2 linked regions of the Callithrix jacchus genome follow. The protein of the gene in region 1 interacts with the protein of each later gene in a biochemical or structural test. Links are inferred from orthologs where the notes say so. Each region holds a gene or a part of one and is shown on either strand. Other genes may lie near its edges. The genes, in order: MAGEF1 and NSMCE1.

The links.
Region 2: the proteins of MAGEF1 (region 1) and NSMCE1 form a complex in vitro, tested with the Homo sapiens proteins (2 studies listed by BioGRID). The link is inferred for Callithrix jacchus from reciprocal best matches to the Homo sapiens genes MAGEF1 and NSMCE1.

Annotation. Positions count from the first base shown.
Region 1 is NC_133516.1:13,653,120-13,656,790, reverse strand, and holds MAGEF1 (melanoma-associated antigen F1), read left to right. Parts: upstream 1-1,484; 5' UTR 1,485-1,652; coding exon 1,653-2,576; 3' UTR 2,577-3,084; downstream 3,085-3,671. UniProt on the Homo sapiens protein: Enhances ubiquitin ligase activity of RING-type zinc finger-containing E3 ubiquitin ligases. Proposed to act through recruitment and/or stabilization of the E2 ubiquitin-conjugating enzyme at the E3:substrate complex.
Region 2 is NC_133513.1:27,854,220-27,858,479, reverse strand, and holds the start of NSMCE1 (non-structural maintenance of chromosomes element 1 homolog), read left to right. Parts: upstream 1-1,274; 5' UTR 1,275-4,260. UniProt on the Homo sapiens protein: RING-type zinc finger-containing E3 ubiquitin ligase that assembles with melanoma antigen protein (MAGE) to catalyze the direct transfer of ubiquitin from E2 ubiquitin-conjugating enzyme to a specific substrate.

The sequences.
Region 1 (3,671 bases):
GGGAGAGAGGAAGGGTGGCAGGAAGGGAAGGAGGGAGGGAGGAAAGGAGACAGGAAGAGAAGGAAGGAGGGAAGGAGGAAGGGAGGCAGGAAGGGAAGGAGGGAAGGAAGGAGGGAGGGAGGAAAGTAGGGAGGGGGGAGGAAGGGAAGGAGGAAGGAAGGGAGGGAATGGGGAGGAAGGAAGGGAGGGGGTGAAGGAAGAGAAGGAGGGGGAAGGGAGGGAGGAAGGGAGACAGGAAGGGAAGCAGAGAGAAAGGGAGAGAGGAAGGGAGGGAAAGAGGGAGGGAGGGAGGAAAGGAGGAAAGGAGGGAGGGAGAAGAAGGGAAGGAGGGAGGGAGGAAGAGGGGAAGGAAAGAAGGAAGAAGGGAGGGAAGGGAGGGAGGGAGCAAGGAAGCTTGCCGTTGGGTGGGAGAAGGGGGCTGCGGAGCTGTGGCAAGGCGCAGGGCCCCACCGTCTGAATCGGATGGTGGCAGAGTTGGTGCAGTTCTTCCTGGTGAAAGACAAGAAGAGTCCCATCACACGCTCGCTTGGATGGGACTCGAAGGGAGGGAGGGAGGAAGGAAGAAGGAAGGAAGGAGTAAGAAGCAGAAGAAAGCTCAGAGTGTGTAAAAAAAGAAAAAGAAACACGTGGGTGTCGTCAAATTTGACTTGGGCAAAAAAAAAAAAAAAAACTCCCGTTTCTTCCAACCCATCCCTATTCCTGCCAGCTGTCCTTCGTCAGTGTATCTTATCATTTTCCTCTTATCCCCATGGAATCTGCTGTCCTTACTCCCTCATAACGATCCATTGAATAATATTTATGGAGTTCCTCTCTGTGTCCGGCACTGCTGTAGGCACTGAGGATACACCCGGTGAACAGGCCAGGTCCCAGTTCCCAGTTTGCACTATAATCATCATCCAAACTTGGATTCCCGATTTCAGCGGGCCGAACTCCAGCGCATCTTCCACGTTACCGCCAGAACAGGAAGACACAGTTCAGGCCTGGACGCTCACGTGTTTAAATCCTTCTGCAGGACCTTTTCCTTCCGTCCAGAATACACGTCCATCTCCCTAGCATCCTTTGCTTACTGGCTCCCAGCCCTCAGTGTGCACTATAGAGCCACGGAAAAGCCCTCAAAGTCCGAGATGCACACGCTTACACGTGGGCACTTGCAGAGAGCAGGTGGGCGGCATTCCATCCCTATTTCACCCCTTGTACCCTGAAACCACTCTGCAGGCCTCGGAGGGGAGAGGCCTGCTATATTCCCCCGCCCCCGACTTTCCGAGCCTAAAATCCAGCGCAGGGTGCACCCCCGTCCCCACCCTCTGGCACTTCCACTCAGAGCAGCCCGGGCACACTCCAACCCATAGAGGACCGGAAGGGGCGGGGCTTCGCGCGGCACTGGGGTCGCCATCCTGGCGGCGGCGGCCGGAAGTGGCCCCTCGCGCGGGCGCGGACTGAGGCTGCGCGCCGCAAGTCCCGGCTGCTGGCGGCGTTGCGGGCGCAGTTTCGACTCCCGTGTGGTGCCGCCCAGCAGCTGCCGAACTCCCTCTGCCATCGCTCCTGGTCCTCCCGCCGCCCCAGCCGCCGTCCAACCCCTCCCCCGGCGCCTGCGCGGCGGCTCGCACACCCCTCGGCCCTTGTACGCGCTCTGCACCTGCCTGCGCGGAAACATGTTGCAGACACCAGAGAGCAGGGGACTCCCGCTCCCGCAGGCCGAGGGGGAGAAGGATGGCGGCCATGACGGTGAGACCCCGGCCCCGACCGCCTCGCAGGAGCTCGCCACGGAGAAGCCTGGCACCGGGAGGGAGGAGGGGGCTACAGAGCCCGCCCTCACCCGGAAAGGCGCGAGGGCCTTGGCGGCCAAAGCCTTGGCACGGCGCAGGGCCTACCGCCGTCTGAACCGGACGGTGGCGGAGTTGGTGCAGTTCCTCCTGGTGAAAGACAAGAAGAAGAGTCCCATCACACGCTCGGAGATGGTGAAATACGTTATTGGAGACTTGAAGGCCCTGTTCCCGGACATCGTCGCGAGAGCCGCAGAGCATCTGCGGTATGTCTTTGGTTTTGAGCTGAAACTGTTTGACCGCAAGCACCACACTTACATCCTGATCAACAAACTAAAGCCTCTTGAGGAGGAGGAGGAGGAAGATCTGGGAGGAGATGGCCCCAGACTGGGCCTCTTAATGATGATCCTGGGCCTTATCTATATGAAAGGTAATAGTGCCAGGGAGGCCCAGGTCTGGGAGATGCTGCGTCGGTTGGGGGTGCATCCCTCAAAGAATCATTTCCTCTTTGGGTATCCGAAGAGGCTTATTATGGAAGATTTTGTCCAGCAGCGATACCTCAGTTACAGGCGGGTACCTCACACCAATCCACCGGAATATGAATTCTCTTGGGGTCCCCGAAGCAACCTGGAAATCAGCAAGATGAGAGTCCTGGGGTTCGTGGCCAAGCTGCATAAGAAGGAACCCCAGCACTGGCCAGTGCAGTACCGTGAGGCCCTGGCAGACGAGGCCGACAGGGCCAGAGCCAAGGCCAGAGCTGAAGCCAGTATGAGGGCCAGGGCCGCTGCTAGGCCCGGCATCCACTTCTGGTGAGGGTTGGTGAAAAGGTGACCAGTGGGGTCCCCGTGGGAATGAGCTACTGTCCTGAGTCATAAGTAGTATAGGTGGGGCAAGGGTCTTATTTCTGTAGAAATCGTATGACTTTAAGGATTTAGATTTTATATCTTAACGTTTTGTTACATTTAATACACTGTTAAAATGCTGTTTGTCGATGGGATTGGCCTACTGTTTCCTGTGGGATTTTGTTGTAGAGTTTTGCTGGTTTTGTAAAATGGATTGAACTTTGTGTTTATACTGTGACTTTGAACAGATGACGCAGTATTGGAAGGCTGTACTTCGATGGTTTGAAGGAACTCCGTAGCATGATCTGGTACCAGGGGAAAATAACTGGTGGCTAGCCTCCCAACACTTGTCTGTTGTATATAAAAGAAAAAGGACTGACATGTACCTCTGTTTGCTTAGCTATTTGAGTATCTAGAGAAACATTAAAATGCAAGGAATTAGCAGTATATACTGGTACACTTAATAAATATTTGTGGAGCATCTTGTTTTTTGCGATGCAATGTGTGGGCACTTGGGGATAGAATACTCAACAAAATAAAGGTCCTACTTTTTTTCAGAATTAGAGAGTAAGTAAATAAACAAGAAATTAACAGTGCAGTGAGTTGAAGGCTGCAAAGGGATACTTAACCAAGCTGAGGTGATTGAGTGAGGTTTGCTTGGGGTTACCTTTAGTCAGACTTGGGGAAAGGGGAAAAAGATGTGGCAGGGGGAAGGGGAGGAAGAAGATGGAGGTAGGGAAGCCAGGCGTTGGGCATAGTATTAAAATGATTTCAGACCCTGCGTGGTGGCTCATGCCTGTAATCCCAGCAGTTTGGGAGGCTGAGGCAGTCAGATTACCTGAGGTCAGGAGTTCAAGACCAGCCTGGCCAACATGGTAAAACCCTGTTTCTATTAAAAATAAAAAAATTTGCCAGGCATGGTGGTACATGCCTGTAATCCCAGCTACTTGGGAGGCCAAGGTATGAGAATCGTTTGAATCTAGGAGGTGGAGGTTGCAGCGAGCTGAGATTGCACCATTGCATTCCGGCCTGGGTGACAGAGTGAGACCCCGTCTCAAAAAATAAA
Region 2 (4,260 bases), on another chromosome or scaffold:
ACCTCGTGATCTGCCTGCCTTGGCCTACCAAAGTGCTGGGATTATGGGCGTCAGCCACCGAGCCCGGACAGCTCAAGCTTTTAATCACCACACACTACTGCTTTCCCACTCAGCAGATGAAACTGAAGTCCAGAGAGGTTAAGAGGCTGTCCAAGATCACAGTGGTGGTAAGTGACCAAACCCGGATTTGAGCCTCCCTCTCAGAGACAGACACCTGTAGGTACTACTGTTCTATATTAGTTACCTGTCTCCCTTGCTAGGCTGCATCCCTAGCTCTCAGACTAGGGATGGAATACAAACGTTTGGAAAAATTAATGTCTTGAAGATTCAAAGCAGTCCATTCACTTCCATGAGTAATTTCACTTACTTTCTCACAACAATGCCTAGGTAAGATAATAACATTTAATCAGCACTCCCGTGTGACACTTTTTAATGGCCATGCTAAGCACCTGATACAGGTATTGTTATCTCTTGCAAATCTCACCAACAGTATTTTGCAAGGATTAATATCCCCATTTAATGGAAAAGGAAACAGGCTTAGCGGCTCAGTGACTTGCCCAAGCCCCTGCAACTAGTAAGTGGCAGCGCCAGGATTCCAGCTCAGGCTGTACGACCACACAGTCCATTTTTTTTTTTTCAATAGAAGTCTTGCTCTGTCGCCGAGGCTGGAGTGCTGTGGCCGGATCTGGCTCACTACAACCTCTGCCTCTCGGGTTCAAGCGATTCTACTGCCTCAGCCTCCTGAGTAGCTGGGATTACAGGCACACACCACTACGCCAGGTGAATTTTTAGTAGAGACAGGGTTTCACCATGGTGGCCAGGATGTTCTCGAACTACTGACCTCAAGCGATCATCCCGTTGGCCTCCCAAAGTGCTGGGATACAGGCATGAGCCACCGCACCCGGCCCAGAGTCCACAGTTTTGACGTTGAGGCCACACTGTCAGTTCCACGGATGGGGAAACTGAGGCCCGTGCAGGGCACTACATTGTGCCAGCGGAATCGTAGCCATTATGGGAAGCACGGGCTCTACAAAGGCTCTTCCTCTTTGGTCGGGGCAGTCACTGAGGTCAGGAAGCGGAGGACAAGTGGAAGCCCTTCCCATTATTAAGGATCAATAACCGCGCGGGAATCTGCGTAATTTGGGATCTAACCCCCGAGGCGGAAACAAAAGGGCGATAGCACGAGAGGAGAACCGGAAGTGCGTCACCCTACGGGCGGGAGAATCAGCTGCAGGTCACCAATGGGAAGGCCGCGTTTGCGTTCGCCCCGCCCCAAAGGAAGATGAGTCCGCCTTGCAGCAGTAGCCGCTAGCGCAGTTCGGGCTGCGCTTGGGCGCCCTGGTGGGTAATGCGGCACGCGAAGGGCTACAGGGGAAAGAGGGACTTCGAGGAAGGCGAGGGGAGGACGGAAGAAGGGATGGGCGAGACGGGCAGTGGGGTCTGGCCCCGGCGTCGGCCCGCGTGGGCTGTGAAACTCGGGGACGGGGTATTGGGGTTTGTCCCTTTCCTGATGGGGAAACTGAGGCCCAGAGAGGGGCTGCAGAGGGGCTGCAGAGGGCCGCGGACTGGGATCTCCTCCCGCAACACACAGCAGGCATCTAAAAATCGTACTATTAAGTGAAAAATATTTTTAATCGTAATTAAGTACGATTTAACAGGTAAAGATACTTTTCATCATAATAGGTGAAGAAGCAAAATATAAAATTTGATTCAAACTGTGATTACATCTATGGAAAACACGGCCTTTGCCGACCACCCTCTTTGTTCGTCCCGCCGCCCTCCATGTTCCCCTCTGTTTTGTGTACGGAGTTTACTTCGTACAAGTCCACAACCCTTTGTGTTAAAGCCCCGAGGCCAGATGAGTTTAGAATCAAGGATTTCTGGGAGTTTGGAAAGATGGTGCATACGTTCCATGTTCGGTTTCACCCTCAGCGGGGGCTGGAGCAGCGGTTTGTAATCAAATACACGACTCTTTCCACAATTAAAGATATGCATATATTTACACCGTTGGGATAAATAACCATAGATAGCCTCCCCTGAAGTCAGGTCAAGTTTTCCAACTTAAGAAACAAGTTTTGGTATTCAGACTTTGTCCCCCCCCCCCCCCCCCCCCCCGCATCTGATCATCCATTAGTATTTAGACCTTTTTAGATTTGAAGATTGCAGATGAGGGGGACCTGGATCGTAGTTGTTCTCTTCATTTACCCATCTCGCTCTCGCTGGATTGAGAGTGTCTTGAGAACAGGAACCGCACATTTGTATGGTCTATCTCTGCCACCAACTTGTGTGTCAATTTTTGCCTCAGTTTCCTCATCTGTAAGATGGTGTTAGTGATCCTTAGGGTTAAATGAGGTCGAACATGTGAAGCACTAGAACGGTTAGCACCTGCAAGAATCGTATGACTGAGATTTACTTATTCCACAAACATTTCTATTTTAAAATTATGAAACTTAAATAAGTAAATTTCTTTATTAAATAGATACATTTAAAAGTAATAGATGTATTTCTTAAAATGTGGGTGATAGGAATTTTAAAGATTTATATAATGCTTCAAAAGCCTTAGAATAAGAAAAGTTTTTTAAAATTAGTTTATCTGTATGTCTGAACTCTTGAAATTTACAGCTAAAACGCTAGGATTTGTTTGCAGGTTACAGAGAGATAATTCTGCTTTTAATGATCTAAAACAAAAACAAAACCTGCCAACCTAGGTTACACGGGAGATTAGAGCCAATTTTTCTCTCATTCTTTTCACCTTTTTTCTTTTGCTGTCCACATTGTACCATTATTTTATGAGTCCCAGTTTTCTGGGCTTAAAAAAAAATTCATTTCTAAATGTTGAATTTAGGGAGCTTTTGTTCTTGGATAAAAAGGCATAAACTTTTTTTTTTTAAATCTGTTGATCTGGGAAATACATTGAAATCATGCTGCTGAGCCTCTAGCTTCTTTGATGTTTTCTTTCAGTATTCTTTCATCATAAATTTTTAGCATTTAAAGATTTAATGATGTATATTTAAAGTCAATAAACTTTTCATTAATAAAAATATATATGTATATATTTTTTGATATGGAGTCCCGCTCTGTCACCCAGGCTGGAGTGCAGTGGCTCACTGCAACCTCTAGCTCCTGGATTTAAGTGATTCTCCTGCCTCAGCCTCCTGAGTAGCTGGGATTACAGGCATGCGCCGCCATGCCCGGCTAATTTTTGTGTAAAATAAATTGACTTAAGTAGGTAATACAGCTCTATGGCTAATCCCGCCACTTTCCCCACAGTCTCTCCTTATAGAGACAAGGGATATTACATGCATAAACAACTTATGCTTTTCTTTCGTCTCCTACTTTCCCACCTATTTTCCACTAAATTATAGCGTTATCCTATACTGTACTCATTCTCATTTACATTTATTTTGGCTGTTATTTAACGTATTCACATAATTTTCTTTTTGTAGCAAGTGGATCTTGCTATGTTGCCCAGGCTGGTCTTAAACTCCTGGCCTCAAGTGATCCTCCTGCCTTGACCTCCTAAAGTATTGAGATTACAGGTGTGAATCACGATGCCCAGCCCATCACATTTAAAAACATTGTATGTAACGTACCTGTACAATTGTGTGGAAGTATAAGTTTGAAGAACAAAAATAAAATGAACACTCATGTACCTGCCACCAAGTTAAGAAATAGACATTTTCATATCCCCAGACCCCCCACTGAATCCTTTCTTCCATCCTCAAAGATAACCACCGCCCTGAATATTGTTTTGCTTTGTGGCTTTTACGATGTATGTATTCATCTCTAATGAATATAATGTATGCTTTTGCTGGATTTTTGTTTTTATATAATAGGATGCTAAAATATATTTTGGGTGAGTGACTTGCTTGCTGCATATAACATCTTTCACAGAAGCATGTGTGTTGAGGAGGGGAGCTTTATCTTCACTGCTGATTTGAATTCTCTAGGGTGATGATATTGTTTTAATGTAGTTCTTCAGTTGGTAGGCATTTATATTGTTGCCAGACTCGTTATTACGTGGTGCTTCTATAAAAATATATTTCCTAGGGCAAATATGGAAGTTTCTGTAAGGCATATACCTAATAAATCGTAGATTTCTGGGGATATGCAAATTTGCTGGTAATATCAACTGTTCATCTGAAATGGTTACAAGAATTTATACCCAGCCGGGCGTGGTGGCTCACACCTGTAATCCCAGGATTTTTGGGAGGCTGAGGTGGGTGGATAGCTTGAGTTCAGGAGTGTGAGACCAGTTAG